Macaca mulatta: one gene and its partner. The protein of the gene in region 1 interacts with the protein of each later gene in a pairwise test. Links are inferred from orthologs where the notes say so. Each region holds a gene or a part of one and is shown on either strand. Other genes may lie near its edges.

What was found. The genes of interacting proteins can lie anywhere in the genome.
Region 2: the proteins of RBSN (region 1) and EHD3 interact in binary tests that used the Homo sapiens proteins (3 or more experiments, as listed by UniProt). The link is inferred for Macaca mulatta from reciprocal best matches to the Homo sapiens genes RBSN and EHD3.

What each region holds. Positions count from the first base shown.
Region 1 is NC_133407.1:153,877,370-153,887,794, forward strand, and holds the end of RBSN (rabenosyn-5), read right to left. Parts: intron 9,247-10,425; coding exon 9,176-9,246; intron 6,425-9,175; coding exon 6,338-6,424; intron 5,410-6,337; coding exon 5,307-5,409; intron 3,952-5,306; coding exon 3,847-3,951; intron 3,166-3,846; coding exon 2,014-3,165; 3' UTR 211-2,013; downstream 1-210. UniProt on the Homo sapiens protein: Rab4/Rab5 effector protein acting in early endocytic membrane fusion and membrane trafficking of recycling endosomes. Required for endosome fusion either homotypically or with clathrin coated vesicles.
Region 2 is NC_133418.1:93,689,889-93,700,413, forward strand, and holds the start of EHD3 (EH domain-containing protein 3), read right to left. Parts: upstream 5,145-10,525; 5' UTR 4,547-5,144; coding exon 4,320-4,546; intron 1-4,319. UniProt on the Homo sapiens protein: ATP- and membrane-binding protein that controls membrane reorganization/tubulation upon ATP hydrolysis. In vitro causes tubulation of endocytic membranes. Binding to phosphatidic acid induces its membrane tubulation activity.

The sequences.
Region 1 (10,425 bases):
GTACCAGGCAACATCTTAGATGCCTGGTTGCCAACTTCTCAAAACAACCCATAACCACCAGCAGGGCTAGTAACTGGCTGACATTCGTTAACCCACTCGTATGGCTGTTTGTGAACAGATCCCAAATGCAAAGGGTCCCCACTCCCCGTCTCCATACCCTATACAAGACCTTTTCATTCAACCAAAAGGATAAGAAATGTGATACAGAAATGTGAACATCAACACAAATACAGATTATTTTTTCATCAAGAGAGTTCAAACATTCCCATTATCAAGAGGGATCTTCACCAGAATGTAACAAAATTAATTTCAGCTCTCACACCAGTAACCAGTGAAAGTATGGCCTAAAGCTAGTTACAGGGCATAAAGTGACCAGTGGTCAGTTATTGTTCATTAGTTAAGATGAGTAACTGCAGAAACTCTACCCGGAGCTGAGCACATGTGGCTATCATGATATCAGATGTCAGTTAAGGGTTATGTTCCTGTAAACCAAAGCACCAGAGCTAAATTAACAATTTCCCTTTCTGGTCTTAATTGACTAATAGTTAAGTACTGTGGGTACTACCAGCACGATCCTGGGTTGTGCTTCTTCAAACATTTCAGTTTCTTAATACTAACATTGGTAATAAAACATCTCATCAGGGCGGGCACAGTGGCTCACGCCTGTATTCCCAGCACTTTGGGAGGCCAAGGTGGCAGATCACTTGAGGCCAGGAGTTCAAAACCAGCCTGGTCAAAACAGTGAAACCCCATCTCTACTAAAAATAGAGAGATTAGCCAGGCATGGTGGTCCACACCTGTAATCCCAGCTATTCAGGTGGCTGAGACACAAGAATCACGTGAACTGGGGAGGTGGAGGTTGCAGTGAGCTGAGATCATGCTACTGCACTCCAGCCTGGGCAACAAAGTGAGACTCTTGTCTCAAAAACAAACAAACAAAAAAAATCTCATCAGTGCCCCAGGTCAGAACACAGTGAACCAGAAGGGAAGACGGCTGATCCAATAGCCTTGGAAATTAATTTAGCTTCTGACTCTGGGAAGCTTCCCTTCTTCTGGTGATGTTTTGCAAAAGCTTCCAGATCACCGATTCCTAAATTAGAGACCAGGCCTTTTAAACAGACCCAGATCAGAGTAACTTTGCCAAAGCTCTGGAGGGAGATTTCTCCAGTGACAGACAATTGTTCCATCAGAACAAGGGTGGGGAAACTCTTCTCACAAGTAATACTAGTATCAACCAAAAAGTTAACCACTCTTATTTTCTAAAAAGCTCAGGACCAGATTCACACTGATACCCTGCACTGGCAGCTTAACTTCCTGAAAGAGACAAAAAACAACTTAAACTGAGAAAATAGACCCTGGTGAAATGTTCCCATCACCCCACCTTAAAAAGAGGTGCTGGGCTCTCCTGGATCTAAACTCTCCCCTTCATAGCAGCACTTCCCCCTGCTATTGTACAGACAGGAAGCGCAGAGCAGGGGAGAGGCGGCCCCAGGTGAAATGGAACTCAAAGCCTACTAGGGATGGACTTCTGTCAGAGCAGAATATAGCTCAGTGGAATCTATCTTCTCTGTCTTGGCTAAAGAAGGGCTCTATAAAGGCTGCCCTATAATACTGCAAAAGGAACCAAGACTAGGCAGTAGCAAATAGACCCAAGAGGTACACAGCAGCCATTTCTGCCCTGGGCCCAACAGAGCTGCATTTAGTTATATCTCGATAGTAAAAATGTAAAGTCCCTTCAAAAGGGGTAAACCTCCAATTACAAAAGATAGTAATAATAAACAGGAAAAACAGCAAATAAATGCTGATTCTCCCTGTTCTAGTTTCTATTCTATTATTCAACTGTAGTGGAAACACCTCAAAGTGCACAACACAAAACAGCAGATTCCTGCCCCTCACCTGTGTGCATCTGACTTCTCACCCTGCCACCTTCCCCATCCACCCTGCCTGCCCTCTGTCCTGCTCCACTGGCTCCTGCCAGACCCCTGGGCCCAAAGGTGCCCTCTCCACTGCCAGTCAGTCAGTGCCCCCCTTCTGCTTGGCCAGGGTGTGCTTCAGCTCCCGCAGGTTCTCTGTCAGCACCTCTACCTCATCTAGGCGGCCACACTGCTTGGCATCAAAGATGTATGCCTTGATGTTATCGATCTGCTGCAGGAGGAGCTCTTCCTCTATGGGCTCCTCAGCCTCCGGCCCACTGTCACTGTCCATCTCAAAGGGGTTGGTACAGGTGGGTTCCTCAAAGGGGTTGCCAGGAACCAGAGGGCTTGAGGGCCTCTGCTGGGGATGTTCATCTTCCTCGTTGAAGGGGTTAGGAGCTGGGCTGTCTGGCTGAATGAATGGATTCCCTGCCACTGCCTCCTCCTCCTCGTCCTCTTCCTCGAAAGGATTGTACTCTTTCAGCATGCGGGCTGAAGGGTCGAAGGAAACCCCGGCAGCAGGAGGACTAGTAGTGCCCTCTTCCATGGGGCTGGAGAGGTCTTCCTCATCAAAGGGGTTTAAGGAGGGCCCCTCATGTTGCTGTGGCATGCTGCTCTGGGTTAAGAGCTCCTGGCCAAGGGCTGGGGGCCCAGACCACACTCTGGTGGGCTGTTGAGTTGAGCTAGGTGACGGGGTCTTGGGAGCTGTGCTGCTTGGAACTGGGGAAGAGCCTAGATCCAAAGCATAAGCAAGGTGGGTGCGAGGCTCTCTGCTGGGCTCCAGCTGAAAAGGGCCGATTTCTCGGAAGTCCAGGGACCGAGTCCGTGTGTGCAGGGATGCCACCCGAAACTGCTCCCTTTCTCGTTCCAACTCCCGTTCACGCAGCATCTGCAGCTGTTCCCGCTGCAGGTCCTCCTCCTCAGCCTGCCTCCGGGACAGCTCGATGGCCTTCTCTGTCTGCTGCTGGTCATACTCGTCCTGTAGCTGCCGCAGGTTCTCCTGCAGGGTGCGCACTTCATCCGTGCGGCCCGCGGCCTTGGCCTGCCTGATGAATGATGTGATGTTGTGGATCTGCTGGAGGAGCGGGTCTGAGTCCTCACTCTGCCCCTGACCTCCTGACAGCGGGAGCCAGCCCTCAGCCTTTCTCAAGAGGGCAGAGCCCCTGCGGAGAGATGCCACCTCCCCGTTGGCTGCTCGAGAAGCCAGGCCACTCTGCCTTTCCTCAAGCCTTCGCTGAGACTCCAGGGCAGCCTGGGGAGAGAGCAAAGCAGAGAGAAGAAATAGTCACCATGCTGGCAACAGCCCACACTGTCACCCACCCTCTGTTGTCCCTCTATCCCTGTGCCAGTGACACTCCAATTTCTCACCTCAGGACAAAGATATCCAACTGCTAAAATCAAGTCATGTTTTTGTGTATATGTGGGCAGAAGGGAGACCCTGATTTTCAAAAATAAAAATAAAATATAATGAATAAGTTAGGGCATCAGATTTTCTCAATCTTAGATTCACAGGCCATATACTCTTCTTAAACCTCTGAGGTCTGTTCCCCTCATCTACACTGGAATCTCACACAGCGTTAAATACACATATAATTTTCTGTTTAATATTGCATATACCAATATGTTCTACAAGGAACTTCCTAATGTCTTGGTCCTCTGCAACTTCTGCCATAGGGAGAACTGTTAATCTCTGTGATATTCTAGCCATGAGAGAATCAGCAGAAGCTCTGAAAGAAAAATAGGACCTGGGGAGAAAAACAATTATTCTAGTTCCCATAGATAAAAGTGAGGCTGAAACACAACAGAAGAAATATGCACATTTGAGAGAGAGGTTCTGATTCACTACAACCCCACACAAGCTGGGAGCTCACGGCAGCCTCTGTGCTTGAGAACCACAGGAGGAAGCGGGCCCCATATCCCTGGCTTCACTCACTTGTCTCTCCATGGCCCTCTTCCTCTCCATTTCCTCCTTCCTTTTCTTTTTCAGTTCCTCAAACTGTTCTTTGGTTGGCAGTGACATCAAACCAAGCAACTTTTCCTGCAGGGAATGACAGACAATTTTACACTTAAACCCTTTGAGAGAAAAAATGACCCTTAAGCCCCATGATGAGAGTTTGCTTAAGCTGAGCCACTCTATTCTCCGAGAGTGACATCATTTGACAGTAGCCGGAAAGGAGCACACTCTTATATTGGGTGAGAGTCAACTCCAAATGGGCCTGCATTTTCCTCATGAAATGATCAACATCAGATATCCCAGTTATTCACCTGGCTCCAATGTTAGCTTCTCTATGAGGTCTTGTCCCTGCCCATCCTATTAGCAAACCTCAATCCCAGTCCTCTCTCCCACACTTCCTTGTTGTAAATTTCTCCACAGCACTTTTGCTATCTTATATACTAGATATTTTAGTTGTTTGTGATCTCTCCCCTTCTTTAGAACACAAGCTTAATGAGAACAGGAACATTGGTCTTTTTTGTTCACTATAGGACATCCAGCACCTAAAACACTACCTGGTATATAGGAGGCGCTCAATAAATGATTGCTGAATAGAATCACTAATCAAAGTGAGGAAGGACCTACTTCTCTGTATTACAAAGTCAGAAAACTAACCCAACAGGACTCCATCTATTAGATCTCTTTGTTGGCTGGGGGCAGTGTGGTTCACGCCTATAATCCCAGCACTTTGGAGGCCGAGGTGGGCAGACTGCTTGAGCTCAAAAGTTTGAGACCAGCCTGGGCAACATGGTAAGACCCTGTCCCTACTTAATGAAAGAAAAAAAAAGAAAAAAACACTTTGTTTTAATTAAAAAAAAAAAAAGAAAAAAAAGATCTCTTTGTCAGGGAGCCCCAAGGGTGGTTAACTGTGACTCTCTCAGAAGGGGCCTTCACGGGTAGAAAGACACAATTCAGACCTAACCACTTAGGTTAGTCTGCCCTTAATCGGCTGTTTCCTCCCAGCTAATGGCTCAGGAAGTCTCTTAGGAGATTATCCTAAGGAAGAAATACTAAGTACCAGTATTACTATCATGGCAACAATTAACAGCAGCAAAAAATTAGTCTATCAAATGCTCAACTAAAGGAAAACGGTTAAAGAATGGCATATACAGTCAATATGCACTATTGTAAATACTGTATATAAAAAATACAAATAGGAAAAAAGAAAACATACCAGAATAATGAGTGATTGTAATGGGGACATAGGATTAAAAGTAGTTTTAGTTTTCTCTGAAATCCAGATTTTTCTCTAAGTGTGGCATCATGCATTCATAATTTCAAAAAATAATACAATGTATAAATAGGAAGTAAACAAGTCACTGGCATGGATCTGCCTCTGGGGAAGCAAAAGAGCAGGACAGGCCAAGCATGACATTTATGCCAACCCAGGATGGCTTTACCTGCACAAAAAGTGTAGCTGAGTATCTGATCATTCTCTGCAGCCGCAAATTGCTTGGATGTGGTGGAGGATCCTGGTTCAAGCCCAAGGTTAAGATCTTCTTACTGAATTGGAACAAACACATGAATATAATGAGCACTGCCAGCTTCAGAAACAAGGGTGAAAAGTATAACATCTGGAGTTGCCAGGCTTTCATGCCAGGAAGGTGTGTAAAGATGGGCAAGTGACTCCATCGAAGTTTCCTTGAAGGCAAAGCCCATTTCTTACCCTTTGGCCGTACACAGGCCTCAGCACAGGGCGCACAACACTGTCATGGAGGGACTGACTACACATGCAGAGCCAGCTTCACAGGTGAGCAACCTATGCAACTAGAAAGGACTGGCACTTCAAAGAGCCCTATGCTTAGTTTAATGCTCTGCTGTTAGTGTCTTTATTCTTAATAATTTTTGGACAGGGGACATGCATTTTCACTTTGTACCAGGCCCTGCATCTACGTAGCCCATGCTGTATGTCTGGATGGACAAAAGCGCCTCATCTCATTCTCCCTCTGAGTCACTGTACTTCCCATAAATCAAAGGGCTAATTTAACCCCAATGGCCAGTCCACAGTTAAAAAGCAGTTGTGGATTTGAGCACAGACACAAAGAAAGAACCCGAGTTTCTATCTTTGCTCCACAACTTTTGCTATCTGTGACATGATTCCTCACCTTTGACACAGGATGTTAATCCCTACCTCACAGGGTAACTTCAGAATAAATGAGCTATTCTAGAGAAAACAGCCAGTGAGTAGCACATGATAGGTGTCAATAACTAGCTCCTCTTTCTTTAACAATAACAAACATTAGAAATCCTTAATGAAACAAAAGTCACTGAGATGCATTAAGTGCCAGAGTTGGCCCCTTCCTTGCCCTCCTCCTCACCCACTGCCCCATCACCAGAAGTGTGAGTGAGTGCAGGTCTACTTTCGCCATTTCATTAGAACAGCATCTTCTCCATTCCACCAGCGGGCAAGATACCACTTAATGGACCTTACCTTAAAGCGTCTATCAGCTCATACACTTTCTGCACTTCCACTCGAAGGTCACTGGCATGTTCCAGACTGTAGGTTGTCTCCCCAGCACTAAGGAGAAACCACAGAGACACGTGACCTAAGTTTCATAGTGCAGACTGGCCAGCATAGTGTAGAAGGATGCTAAAGGTGTAAGGCCTCACAAAGGCAGGTAATTCTCTAAAGGTGGCATTTCAGACTTTTGGATATAATGCAGTGTCCATCTCTTGGAATGATGAATCAAGTGGAAGTGACGTTTCGATTTGCAGACACAATAGGGACAGACTCAGGTTGACGCCTCCAAGGACTAGCCCTTATGCTCATCACCAAAACAAATGCGGCTGAATTTACTCTGGCCTACTTTCTCTAAACAATTCCACTGCCTCTAACAAGATGTTAGAAGTGGTTTACTAAATCAGTTGGTTACATTAAAAGCAGAAAACTACTTGGCTTTTCTCGCTCAAAAGTACCCAAGGAGGTTCGAGACCAGCCTGGCCAACACGATGAAACCCCGTCTCTACTAAAAATACAAAAATTAGCCAGACATCATAGTGGGTGCCTGTAATCCCAGCTACTCAGGAGGCTGAGGCAGGAGAATCGCTTGAACCAGGAGGCGGAGGTTGCAGTGAGCCAAGGTCGCACACTGCATTCCAGCCTAGGCGACAGAACAAAACTTGGTCTCAAGAAAAAAAAAAAAAAAAAATATATATATATATATATATATACACACACACACACACACATGGTTTTGTTTTAAACAAGGCAAATCTACTGCTACATGCATTGCTTTAAATGTGGCAGAGAGGCAACACAGGTTTAAGACAAAGTCAGAAAACTCTGAAATTAATAACACTGGATACCATAATTAATTCTTTTCCTATAGGTTGGGAAAACACTACTGGGATCTGACTCTAGTAGTTAGCACTTCAACTTCTAGGTCACAAACACTAAGCTTCAGAAAAAGCCATGCCCTTAAACAGGGATCAGCAAATTTTTTCCATAAGGAGCCAAATCATAAATGTTTTCAGCTTTGCAGGCCACAAAGTCTCTGTTGTTGCTATTCAACTCTGTCGTGGTGGTGCAAAAGCAGCTACAACCAGTAATCAAACATGGGCATGGCTGTGTTCCAATAAAACTTTATGCAAACAGGTGGCAATAACTAGTATTAGTAAGGCTAAAAAGAAAGTGAAACCCTCATACACTGCTAGTGGGAATGCAAAATAGTGCAGTCATTCTAGAAAACGATTTAGCAACTCCTCTATGGAATGTTACTCTATGGTAATATATAGTTAGCATAAAACCCAGCAATTCCACTCCTAGGTACCTACCTGAGAGAAATGAAAACATGTCTACACAAAAACCATAAAAACTTGTACACAAATATTACAGGAGCATTATTTATAACAGCCAAAAGTGGAAAAATACCAAATGTTCAACAACTGATGGATCAACAAAATGTGACAAGTATCCACACAACACATTCATACAGATGCAATGAAGTACTGATATATGCAACAACATGGATGAATCTTAAAAACATTACACTTTGTGAAAGAAGCCAGACAAGAGAGATTTTATATTTATGATTCTATTTATATGAAATGTCAAAAACAAACAAATCCATAGAGACGGGAAATAGATTAGTGGTGTCCAGGGAGATGGGGAAAGGGCAGTGGCTGCTAATGTATGGGGTTTCCTATTGGGGTGATGAAAATGTTTAGAATGAAGACAGTGGTAATGTTCGCATAATTTTGTGAATACACTAAAAACCACCGAACTGTACACTTTAAAAGGGTAAAGTTTATAGTGTATGAACTACATCTCGATTTTAAAAAAGAAGCAGATGTTGGCCAAGGGCAGTGGCTCACGCCTGTAATCCCAGCACTTTGGGAAGCTGAGGTGGGTGGATCATGAGGTCAAGAGATCAAGACCATCCTGGCCAACATGGTGAAACCCCGTCTCTACTAAAAATATAAAAAAATTAGCAGGGCATGTTGGCGTGTGCCTGTAATCCCAGCTACACGGGAGGCTGAGGCATGGGAATTGCTTGAATCCAGGAGGTGGAGGTTGCAGTGAGCCCAGATTGCGCCACTGCACTCCAGCCTGGGCGACACAGCAAGACTCCATCCCTCCCCCTGCCAAAAAAAAAAATATATATATATATATATATATATATATATATATATATATATATTAGCTGGGCGTGGTGGTGTGTGCCTGTAGTCCCAGCTACTTGAGAGACTGAGGCAGGAGAATCACTTGAACCCGGGAGGTGGAGGTCGCAGTGAGCCAAGATCACGTCACTGCACTCCAGCCTGTCAACAGTGAGACAGAGTCAAAAACAAAAAAAAAAAGCAGATGTCAGGATACATTTGGCCCATGGGCTGCAGTCTGCCAGCCCCTGCTCTAATGGACATGCCTACTTTAAGCCCTGACACCTCAATGTGACACTCAAGTGGCATCTACCCAGGCATGAGCATGAGACCCACTGCCCTTCCTCTGCTCTGTCCAGATGCTGCACTCAGCAGCAGTACCTATTGTCTGAGGCCCTTCCCAAACCTGCTCAGTCAGAATAGCCAAGGTCAACTGAATGTGGCTGTCTTTTTACAAGCTCATGTGATGGTAACATGTACCCCACTAAAAGACAGACATGAAGGTGATTCTCTTCATAACAGCCAAAAGTGGAAAAAAACCAACTTCAGCTGGTCTCAGAAAAAAAGCACAGTTGAAGTTAAGATTTTCATTTTTGGCTACTGGAGAACTGACCTAAGATGCCAGAAAACAGTCACCACTGGATTAGAAAAACATAGATGAATAGCTTACTTTAATGATGCTGCCATCCTGATGTATTCTGGAGCTTTCTGGTCAACTTTCTCCATGCAAAGTCGTAATTTCTAAGAACAAAAACAAAGCGGTAAGTGGTATGCTCAAGATACAGAAAAGCCTACCCAGAAGCTAGGCTCCATCAATGGAGATATATAAATGTTCACTTTTCCAACATATTAATTGTTGTTATCAATTTCCTGATTTATAGACCTACTTTCCAAGCAGAAAATTTTGTAGGAAGGAAAGAAAGTGAGAATGGAGCTTCTGACCAGATGTTTTGTTTTGTTTTGTTTTTTGAGGAGTTTTGTTCTGTCACCCAAGCTGGAGTACAATGGCGTAATCTCCGCTCACTGCAACCTCTGCCTCCTGGACTCAAATGATTCTCATGCCTCGGCCTCCTGAGTAGCTGGAATTACAGGTGCACCGCCACCACGCCCGGCTAATTTTTATTTTTTTAGTAGAGACAAGGTTTTGCCATGTTGGCCAGGCTGGTCTTGAACTCCTGGCCTCAAGTGATGTGCCCACCTTGGCCTCCCAAAGTGTTGGGATTATAAGAGTGAGCCACCACACCCAGCCAGATGTTTTTGAGAGGAGTAAGGCTTCCAGGGCACAAGCCGAGGCGTCTACCAAGACAAAAAGGAATTAGCTGCTACTTTCTTTCTCTGCCAAGTGATGCCAGGCAACATTAGGAAACCAGCACAAGGCATTGCCAGGGCTCACTTCAAAAGAGGAAGTGGCACAAGCACAGTGGGTATTCACAGAAATGAGATACCAGGTCATGAACTCCACACAAAGGATGGAGAATGGCTACATCTGCAACCCAACATGGGGCTTAATTAACACCATTTCTAGTAGCCTGAGTATTTACATGGGGATTCCAGAAACACTGCCATTATGACCTGCAGAACTGCTAACAATGACTATTCAGTGGTCATCAGACAAAAATATATCTTCCTCTGTTCAGAATGTTGCACAAGCTGCTTCCTCTGCCTGGGCTGATCTCTTCCCTGCATCTCTTACTGCCTGCCCACCCAGTCCACCTGGCTAGTCCTCCTCAGCTCACAGGTCTCACCCGGCCATTAAGGGACCAAGCCAGTCTCACTCCCAGATAGTCTTTGCACACTATTTCCTCTCAGAGTATGCATCTAGTAGGGGGGCTGTGGGATCGCTCATAGTAATGACAGCTGAGGCATTTGGACAAACTGAGAAGGGGACACTCAGTAAACTGGTGAAGTCTGAAAACTTGT
Region 2 (10,525 bases), on another chromosome or scaffold:
TGGGGATGTCAGGGTGGTGATGAGAGCTGGTGCAGCCACAGCAAATGCCAGGTCGCCTTTGGGGTGGGAGGTCACAGTCTCCTGAAGTGGGAGAAGCTGAAAGGGCCAGCTCAGTAGCCCTCAGGGTGGACTCCCAGCAGCCCCACCGTGTGCTCATGCCTCAGAGTCCAAGTCACATGATAGAAGGTCCGTGCAACCCTCGAGACCAGCCCAGCCTCCCTGTGGAGCCCAGGGCAGCCTAGCTCTGCAGCCCCAGGCCCCACAGTCAACCCGCTAGAGCCCCTATCTCAGCTCTGCCAAGGTCCCGGGAGGCCTCCCTCATGGCCCACGGAAGTACTCAGGCCTTTCTCGGCCCCTGGAGCAGCCAGCTACTCACCTCCACTACCTGCAGAATAAGGGGCCACAGAAGTAGGCAGCAAGAAAGAGTGACCAGGGGCCAGATGGTCTAAGGAAGGAGGGATTCAAGGCTGCATGCCAGGCAGAGAAATAGCAAACGGAGAAGAATAGCAGAGGCAGGAGGAAAGGCTGCCAGGGCCAGAGGACACAGAGCTACTGTACTCCAAAGAGGCAGCCTGTGTTGGAGAGGGCAGCCGCCAAGCCAATTTACTGTTTATTTTATTACTCTGTGTTGCCGGGCCTTAGGCCAGGGAAGTTATTTCAGGCAAAGATCACAGCACATTAATTAGTTATTAGAAGAATGTCCTTTTCTGTGTGTTCTTCCTGAGACAAGAAATAGACCCCGTGGCGAGCACATATAACAAAGTAGATGGACCCTCAGGGGCAAAACGCCAAGAACTGGGGGAATGAAGAGGCAAGTCTTTGTTTCTGAGGAAAAGGCCCCTCACAGGTTCAGGCCTGGGATGGAGACGAGAATCAAGGCGAGAAGCAGGGATGGGAGAAGGGAGGGGAGGAGACCTTCTGAGACCTAGGCATGGACGCATTTATCCACCCCAGAGCAGCCTCACTCGCTCTGGGGAAGGGATGCAGTGTCAACTCACCCTCTTGGAAAACAACTGCCAAATATGACTCTTAATACAAAAATTTTAAAGTTAAAAAATAATTTAAACAAAACTCTGCCCAACCTTTGGCCTAGCAATTCCACTTCTGGGAATCTCAAAAAAAAAAAAAAACAAAAACAAAAAACAAAAACAAAAACCAAAAAAACCACACACACAATATAGGAAAAAATATTATACACAGAGATATTCAGAATTATTCTACAATAACAAAAAATTAGAAATAGCCTAAAACATCCAAGAGAAGTAGATTAAGCAAATGAAGACTCGTATATACACACAATGAAATAGTATGTAGCTGTTAAAAACAATGCTATTCATTAGTTATTACTCATTAGTTAAATGAATAATTGTATATACAAACAGTGAAATAGTATGCAGTTGTTAAAAATAATGCTTACAAATAATGCTTATAACATGGGAAATGTTCACGCTATAAGTAAGAAAAACTCAGATGCAGTAGCTCACGTCTGTAATCCCCAGCACTTTGGGAGGCTGAGGTGGGTGGACACCCTGAGGTCAGGAGTTCGAGACCAGTCTGCCTAACATGGCGAAACCCCATCTCTACTTAAAATACAAAAATTAGCCAGGCGTGGTAGCGGGCGCCTGTAACCCCAGCTACTTGGGAGGCTGAGGCAGGAGAGTTGCTTGAACACAGGAGGCGGAGGTTGCAGTGAGCCGAGATTGTGCCATTGTACTCCAGCCTGGGTGACACAGTGAGACTCCATCTCAAAAAAAAAAAAAAAAAAAAAACAAACAAGCCAGCACACAAAATTACATGTACAGCATGATCTCAACTGTGCTATAAAATAGCTACAAATACTGGAAATATATTTTATATATAAATTATATGCTTTATATATAAATGTTTTATATGTAAATTAAAATAGCTTCTCCTAAGTCATGGGATTATGGGTGACTTTCTTTCTTCTTTAAATTTATTCTTTTCTATATTTTCCAATTAAAAACAACTGTTTATTGGATTTTATGAGAAAGAAGAAAAGTACACGATTTGGTTCTGGAGGGTTCCCTGTGGTACGACCCCTCCTACAGTGCTGGCTGACACTCCCCCAAGGGGAGACAGCTTTTGACGCATGAGCTAAATTCAGTTGCTGACATGAGTGGAGAGAGGGAACTATTGCACATGGAGGATAAGAAAGAAGAGAGATCTGTCTCTCCCAGTCTTGCTGTCTCCCTCAGATAAGGAATCATCTATGGCAATTTGACTCTGCCACTTTCTTAGACCCAGTTAACAGCCAGCGATGACTCAGGCAAAGCCGGTAGAGTGTCTCAGACAAAAGGCACTTAAACCTGTCTGCTGCTTGGGGATCCTCGCCTCTCCCCATCTTCCCTTCCATTCTGCAAAATGTCTGCTGGGAACCTCCTATAGCTGAGACCCTGGAAGAGGCCCCGGAGATGCTAAGGCATGGATGTTGTCTTGTCAGTGATCGTACTCCAGGAAGGAGAAGCTACAAATAATGTAGGAAAGGTTATAAATACCATATGTGCAGAGAGCCAGGGAAGGCTGAGAGGGCAAGGGCCATCTGCAAATGGCCTGTATTTCCCTTGAGGCATGAATGGGCCAAGTGGAGGCCAGGGCTCACAAAGGAAACCCTGCACACAACCCAGGCAGCTCTGAAGTGCCTTTGGCAGCAATGGGTGCTTAATAAAACAAGGGGCATGGCTTAGATCAGGGATTCCCACCCTGAAGTCCAAAGATGGCCCTTGCACTCCCAACATTATATGCAAATTTGGGATGCATGTACATTTTTCTAAAGATAGAAAGTTAAGAAGCAATGGATTAGATTAATCTCAAAGGCCTCTTGCAGTTCTATCAATACAAAACATACAAGAGCCAACAGGCCCATCTCCCAAACTCCTTCAGAAATCACTTGGCCTCTTAAAGCTGCTGAGCCCTAGGCTGTGTACTCCACAAGGACAAACTCAATGTGGTGTTGTGTTTAGACATCACCTATTAGCATGGTGCTACTTCCAGAAGGCTTGTGTTACAAGGTCGATGTTAGAGAAAATTAGTACCTAGAAAATTAGTAACTAGACTGTTAACTTTTCTGCTCTCCTCACCAAACAAAGCACAGCATTTCACATGCTGTGGATGCTCAGACAGCCAAGGAATAGGAACACGGGTACCCCTGCTTTCCAAACCCTCTGCAGGAGATGAGCACGCTTGACTTTGGGGGTCCACCAAACTCCATTCTCAGTCTGTGGGAGCCTGACTCTTAAGACAGAGGGCCACAGCATTCTCAACAGTTTGGAATGGCTGTAAAAGAGGCCAAGAAAAATGGCCGGCCTTGAAGTTGGGAGGATTGACGACTGGAGAGAAGCCTGTTATCTAAAGATAGGAAGGGCCTCTGGTGGACCTCTCTGAATGCAGGGTGAACAAATTGACTTCTTGAGCTTCTCTCCAGCCCATGGATTCTGTAACTGAAGGGAATGGATGACTCACTCTCAGAGTTACAGGCGTTTAGCCAACCATCTCCTCACATGCATCTAGGACTTAGATCCCAGGTCTGCTGCCCACTCTTTAGATGGCTCTGCACAATTCATTTAACTTCTCTGTGCCTCAGTTATCTCACCTGCAAAGTCAGGAACTGGATGAGACAATGCCAATATCCCTTCCACCTCTAAGAGTCTTTAATATTATTATCGAGCCATTAAGATCAAATAAGAGAAAAGAAAAAAAAAAAACATTCTGCTTCTGGACTCCGTCGAGTCTCCAAGATACATATATACACAGGAGCTCTGCTTTAGAGAAGGAAATGATAAAAGAAGGACAAGTAGCATCCCCAGGCCACCTCCGTCCCCAGGCCTGCACCCATCAGAACTCAGCTGCAACTGTGAGGCCCCCAAGTGAGTGCCAAGCCCCTTGAAAAGCAAGGGAAGAGGTTTTGCCCGAAATGATGTGTTTCTAAAAAGTGAAGATGCAAGACATCCCCACCAGCATGAGGCGCTCCAGAGACCAGGAGCTCTTCCATTGTGCCTCCTGGGGCTCGATTTCATCATCCATAAGATGGGGAGACCAGGAATGGCTTTACACTTGAATACTTCAGGTTGACCACTAGAGCCAAGGGCCAAGTAGAGTGTACAGGTATTGGGTAGCATGGGAAGGGGGACCAGCAAAAATTATGGGGTAAGATTTTGACGCCTGCACACACACATATATCTTCAGAGCCCTCAACTGAAGGCTTCCCATTGGTCCCCTGTCAGGAGTGGAGCACCAGGAGTGACCGGAGGGACTAGGTGCTGGGCTCCGGGGTGGGCTGCCGGGACCCTGGGCCGGCTCACCTGATGAAGGTGGTCTTCCCAGTGGAGTACTGGCCCACCAGCAGAACCATGGGCTTGTTGTCGAAGTCGGCATCCTCCAGGGCGGGCGAGTGGAACTCGTGGAAGCGGTAATGCTCTTCCAAGGGCAGCAGCTTGCTCTTGTAGAGTTTCTTGAGCCCCTCACTCACCGTCTGGAAAACCTCGGGGTCCTTCCTCCGGCGGTCGTCCGTACCCAGCCAGCTGAACATCGCGGCCGCCGCTCGTCCCCGGCACGCAGCCCCAGGGGAAGACTCCTCCTCAGGGAAAGATGTCCCGTAGGACCGGTCCACCGGGCTCCGAGCCGCGCCGCCGCCTCACCCAAGCGCGGAGCTCAGCCGCACCATGGCCCGGGCACGCGGCTAGGAGGGCCGGGAGCGCACTCTCCCTGCTCCTGGGACCAAGTCCGGCCGCCGCTGCATCCAGCAGCCCAGGCCGGAGGGAGGATTAATGATCTGGGCTAGAGGAGGAGGGGTGCAATCTTGGAAATTAAAGTCGAACCTGCAAGGAAACTGCCAGATGCCGGGGTCCCCGATCGGCCCCCAGCCCTTGCCTGCTCTGCCCTGCGTGCAGCAAGGGATGCTTCGGCTCCGCTCCTGCCGGACCGAGGCGGCTCAGGGGAGGCGGCGACGCTGCCCAGCCCGCGGACAGCTCCGCATCCGCAGCAGCATCCTGCAGCCCCAGGCGCTGGTTTAAATGCCAGCTGGGCAGGAAGCCGGAGCGCGGAGGAAGTCCCCGAGTACTGGCAAGGCAGGGCCGGCCCCACGGTCCCGGCGACGGGAAGCCGCGCAGGGCGCCGCCATGTTTGTGGGCAGGCGCTCCGCTCCAGACCTGCGGCCGCGCGGGTAGAGGGATGCTGACCCAGTCCCGGGGGAGAGCGCCGATGTCTCAGTCTCCGCCTCTGGGGCTTCGATTTGGGAACAGCGCCCTCTCAGGGACGGCTGCGAGGACAGAGTTGACCTGTTCATCACCCTCCCTGCATTGAATCGCCTCTCCTTCGGTTGCTGAGGTCAATTCCCTAGGAAAACAGGTACTCTACTATTTGGGATTTTTTTTTTTTTTTTTTGGCATAGAAAGAAGGATCCGCTATCAGGTTCCACAAAATGACCAAAACTGTCACTACCCAAACTTTTAGCTAGGCTTAGGGTGAAGTCATAATCGTTCCCTTTTATTTATTCGTTCATTCCAGCAAAACAAAACAAGCCAACAAGCAAAATCCCTGCAAGTATTGGGCATTTATTATGGGGCAGATACAATTTTGGTGACTGTGGATACAGAGATGAGTGCTGAACAGACTCTTCCTTCCAGGAACTCCAGTGAAGGCAGGCTTTAAAGAGGAGGCATGAGCAGAGGGCCATGGGAATACAGGGAGGATTCACTCCTTTTGTGTGGCTAATTTGAGGAATGCTTCACGGAAAGCATGACTGTAAGCTGGATCCTAAATGATGAATTGACATTCATTATTCTAGCAGCATAAGGAGCATTTGCAAAGGCTTGAGGAACATGGGAGAACTTGGTGTGTCTAAGGCAGAGTAAACTGTTTGGCATAGCTGGAGTGTAGGGTTTAGGAAGGTGGAAGAGAGTGAGGGAGGCCAAGCATGGAAGGCTTTGCCAGAGATGAGGAACCAATAACAATGCTATTACTAATCATTGTTACATTAACAAAATGCTCAGCATGTACAGGGGCCTGGGCTGAGTTCTCAGTGAACATTGCTTTATTTAACCTTCATAGCAGATCATATTATCTCCGGCATCACACCAAGGAGAGTGAGTGGGAACACCGTTCAGGTGTAGGCAAAAGCAGTGCATTGTGTGTAGAGAATTTAAACCCAGTAATAAACTGGCTGAAAGTTGATGTGCTTTGTATTGGCACCATTCTAAACAGTATAGTGAGAAAACACTCTTCCCTGCCCAGGCTGATGGCTCCCACTACCCTCCCTTTCACAGATGAAGAAGGAGGAGGTTATGGACCAGGCAGGGACTGGAATGCCAAGAGCAGTGTCGGGGGCAGGGACTGGAGGAGCAAGAGGTTGGAGATTGATATGGTTTTGCTCTGTGTCCCCACATAAATCTCATCTCTAATTGTAATCCCCGTAATCCCCACGTGTCTAGGGACAGAGCTGGTGGGAGGAGATTGGATCATGGGAACAGTTTCCTTCATGCTGTTCTCATGATACTGAGTGAGTTCTCGTGAGAGCTGATGGTTTTATAAGGGGCTCTTCCCGCTTCGCTCCTCACACTTCTTTCTCCTGCCACCTTGTGAAGGACGTGTTTGCTTCCCCTTTCACCATGATTGTAAGTTTCCTGAGGCCTCCCTAGCCATGCAGAGCTGTGAGTTAATTAAACCTTTTTCCTTTATAAATTACCCAGTCTTGGGTATTTCTTCATAGCTGTGTGAAAACAGACTAATACAGAGGCCAAGAGACCATTTAGGAAACGATTCCAAAACTTGACAGCAGCAATGGGATTGTAGAAGAGGTCAGACTCAAAAGATTTTTTCATGGAATAGAATTGTCAGATCTTGGTACGTGATAAAAAAGAGGACATCAGGGTGAGGCACAGTCTAGGATGATTTTGAATTTTCTACCATAGGGGATAAGATCGTCGGAGAAGCTCTTCCACTATTTAGGGGAGGCACAGAGAGAGCTGATTTAGCAGACAGATATAATGTATTTAAACTAAAACATGTTGCATTTGAAGTGCCTGCAGGAGCTTCAAGAAGAGTATGGTGAAGCTGCAGGGATTTCAGAGGAGGGCGGATTGATCAGAGGCCAGTGCTGAATAGAATCTCCTTAGTTACATCTCAGATCTCCCGACTCTGTCCTTGAAACCCAAAACTGATCACCTCTTGTTGAGAATTCACTCAGATTAATATTTCACCCTTGGTATTTAGTTACTACCAGCATACAAACCTAAGAAATAATATTAAAGATATTTAACAACTCACAAGGTATGAGAATCAAACACCCAGAACAGACACTGGCCTTCCCAGTGGAACAAGACTTGAGCCCTGTGCCATACCTGGTGTTAATACAGTGGTGTCTGGACCTTGGAGAGGTCTGGGCCTGTCCCCGGGGAGAGGACAGGATGGCCAGCGTGACAGGAAAGAAATCAAGGGGCCCCATTATGGAAATATTTCAAGAATTTTGTAATCAGTACAACCATGCCATTGTCTGCTGAATGTCTGTTCTGAATATCTAATTTGCTGAGTGCCTGTTGACACATCTACTCCCGTCTGAGTCTTGAGTAGTTGAAATCTGTCTGTTTAAAAAAGGAACTAATGGAGCATTTCTGTAGACTAGCAATAAAAAGTCATAAAAGATAATATTCAAAAAAGATACCATTTTCAAAAGAACAAAAACCTAGGGATAAATCTAACAAAAGATGTGCAAGATCTTTATGTGAAAAATGATAAAACTTTATAGAAAGATGTTAAAGAAGTTCTAAATAAATGGGAGAGACATGTCATGTTCCATCGTGGAAAGATTCCGTGTCACAAACATGTGAATTTTTACAACATAATTGATAAATTCAATAGTTGAGAGATATGATTGAAATCAAAATCTAAATAAGGTTTTCCATGGAAATTGACAAGGTGATTCTAAAATGTATAGCATATAGAGCAATAGTAAAATATAGCTTAGATATTCCAGGAGAAGAAAGAAGATAAGAGGAACAAGGAGGAGGAGGAGGAGGAGAGGGAGAGGTGGAAGGGGAAGGAGGGAAGAAAAAGGAGAACAGGGAAGAGAAGAAGACAACAGTAACATAGCAATGTCAACAACTAAGTGAAGAGAACTTGCCCTAGTGGACATTACTATAAAGTTGCAGTGGTTAAGATGGTTTTGGCACAGAGACCAACAGAATAACGACACAGTAAATAGCCAGGAAATTTGGAAACCTGATATCTACAGAAGTTGCTTTAGAGATTGCATATATATCACCACAAAGTCAGGAAGAATTCTTTAAACAAGATATCAGAAGTACAAACTGAAAATGAAAAAAACTAAGTTTAGCACTAGCAAAATTTTAAACTGTCGTTCAACTAAAAATAAAAAAGTGAGTGAAAAGATATTTCCCATACACAAAAACCCACAAAAGCATATCCAGAATATAGAATTAATGCCTGTACATTGATTAAAAAAAGACAAACATTCCAATAGACAAAAACTTGGCAAGAGCCACAAAAATGTCTTTTACAAGAGGCTACATGAATGTCCTATAAACACAAGAAAAGATGTTGCATCTCATTAGTAATTAGAGAAATGCCAAACCACACTAACACTCCATACCCACCAAAATGGCAAGAATGAAATAGTTGGATGATACCAAGGTTGGTGAGGATGTAGAGCCATGGGAGCTCTCATAAAATGCTGGTGGGTGTGCAGGCTGGCACAAACACTTTGGGAAACAATGTGGCATTGCTTCGTGAAGCTGAAGATGTGCATGACCTGCCATTCTATTTCAAGGCATGATCTAGAGAAACTCTTGCACATGTGCATAGGGAGATAAGTCTAAGAATGTTGATGGTAGCATTATTTGTAGCAGCAAAAATATATAAACAACTAAATGTCCTTCACCGAGTAAATGGATGAATTGTACCACATTCATGTGAAATATATAGCACACTGGGGTCTAGTTGAGGGTGGAGGATGGGAGGAGGGAGAGGAACAAAAAGCAAGACCTATTGGGTACCAGACTTAACACCTGGGTGATGAAATAATCTGTACAGCAGACCGCCATGACACAGGTTTACCTATATAACAAACCTGAACCTGAACCTGAAATAAAAGTTACAAAAAATACATACTCTACAGATGAGAAAAATGAGGAAAGTGGTGCTACCGATGCCAAAATATAGTGTTGAGTGAATAAAGCCAGAAGTAGGCTATTATGCATAGAATCATACAATTTCATTAATGTTTTCGGTCATGTAAAAACCACTATCTGTTGTTCATGGATGCATATGTGTGCATTGAAAATTTTTAAAAGAGAAGCAAAGGAACATAAAACACTAGTCAGGAATGAGGTGTTCTCTGGGGACTAAAAAGGGAAATGGCATTGGGGATGGGTACACAAAACACAAGGAGCTTCAACTATATATACACTGTTTTCTTTCTTTTTCTTTTCTTTTTCTTTTTCTTTTTTTTTTTTTTTTTGAGACAGGGTTTTCCTCTGTCGCCCAGGCTGGAGTGCAGTGGTGCCATCTCGGCCTACTGCAACCTCTACCTCCTGGATTCGAGAGTTTCTCCGCCTGCCTCAGCCTCCGAAGTAGCTGGGACTACAGGCATGAGCCACCACGCCTGGCTAATTTTTGTATTTTTAGTAGAGATGGGGTTTCACCATGTTGGCCAGGCGATTATCTCTCAAATTTGATAGTGAGTACTTGGCTATTCATTTCTTATTCCTTTTATCCTTTATTTAAAAAAAACTGATCCTTGGATGCACAAAGTTGGATTTTTTTTCATAATTGTGGTTCAAGACAAACTATACCTGGCTCTTTTATTATATTTTTTAAAAACTTAACACATATTTATGTAATGGACCCTTGATGAACCCATCATTCAAACCGAGGACTAGAAAAATTAGCAGTAATTTACATCTACTTATGTGCTCCTCCCCATCCTGTCTCCTGCCCCTTCTCCTTCTTTCTAGAGGAGCCTGCTATCCTGAATCTACTGTGTATTGTTACCTTGCTTCTTAATTACTGTTACACACAAATGCAAACCGAAAGAACATATTGTTGAGGTTTAGTGTTTTTGGACTTTTTATAAAAAGCATATCCTGCTACATGTAGTGTCTCTGGAACTCGACTTTTCTCCCATTCAACATTTGTTTTCAGCCCCATCTGGCTCCACAGGGCTCTCTCCCACCAGGTGTCTCTTCCAAACCCAGCACATGCCTCCTATTTCTGTCACCTGCCAGGTGCATGGGGGTTCCCAGTCAGACAACCTGCAGTGGATGGAGTCCCGGTGTCCCCATGTCTTTGCTGTGTGAGCTTGGGGAAAGTGGCTTCACTCTCAAGCCTCAGCACCCTGGTCTCTGAAATAAAGATGGCAATAACTTTTTTTTCAGGATTAAAGGGACAATGCGTGTAAAGTGCTTAGCTCAGGGCCTGGTCCATTGAGAGTGTTCAGTATATATTAGCTCTTAATATTATAATCATTATTACTTGTATCTACTACATGGCACTG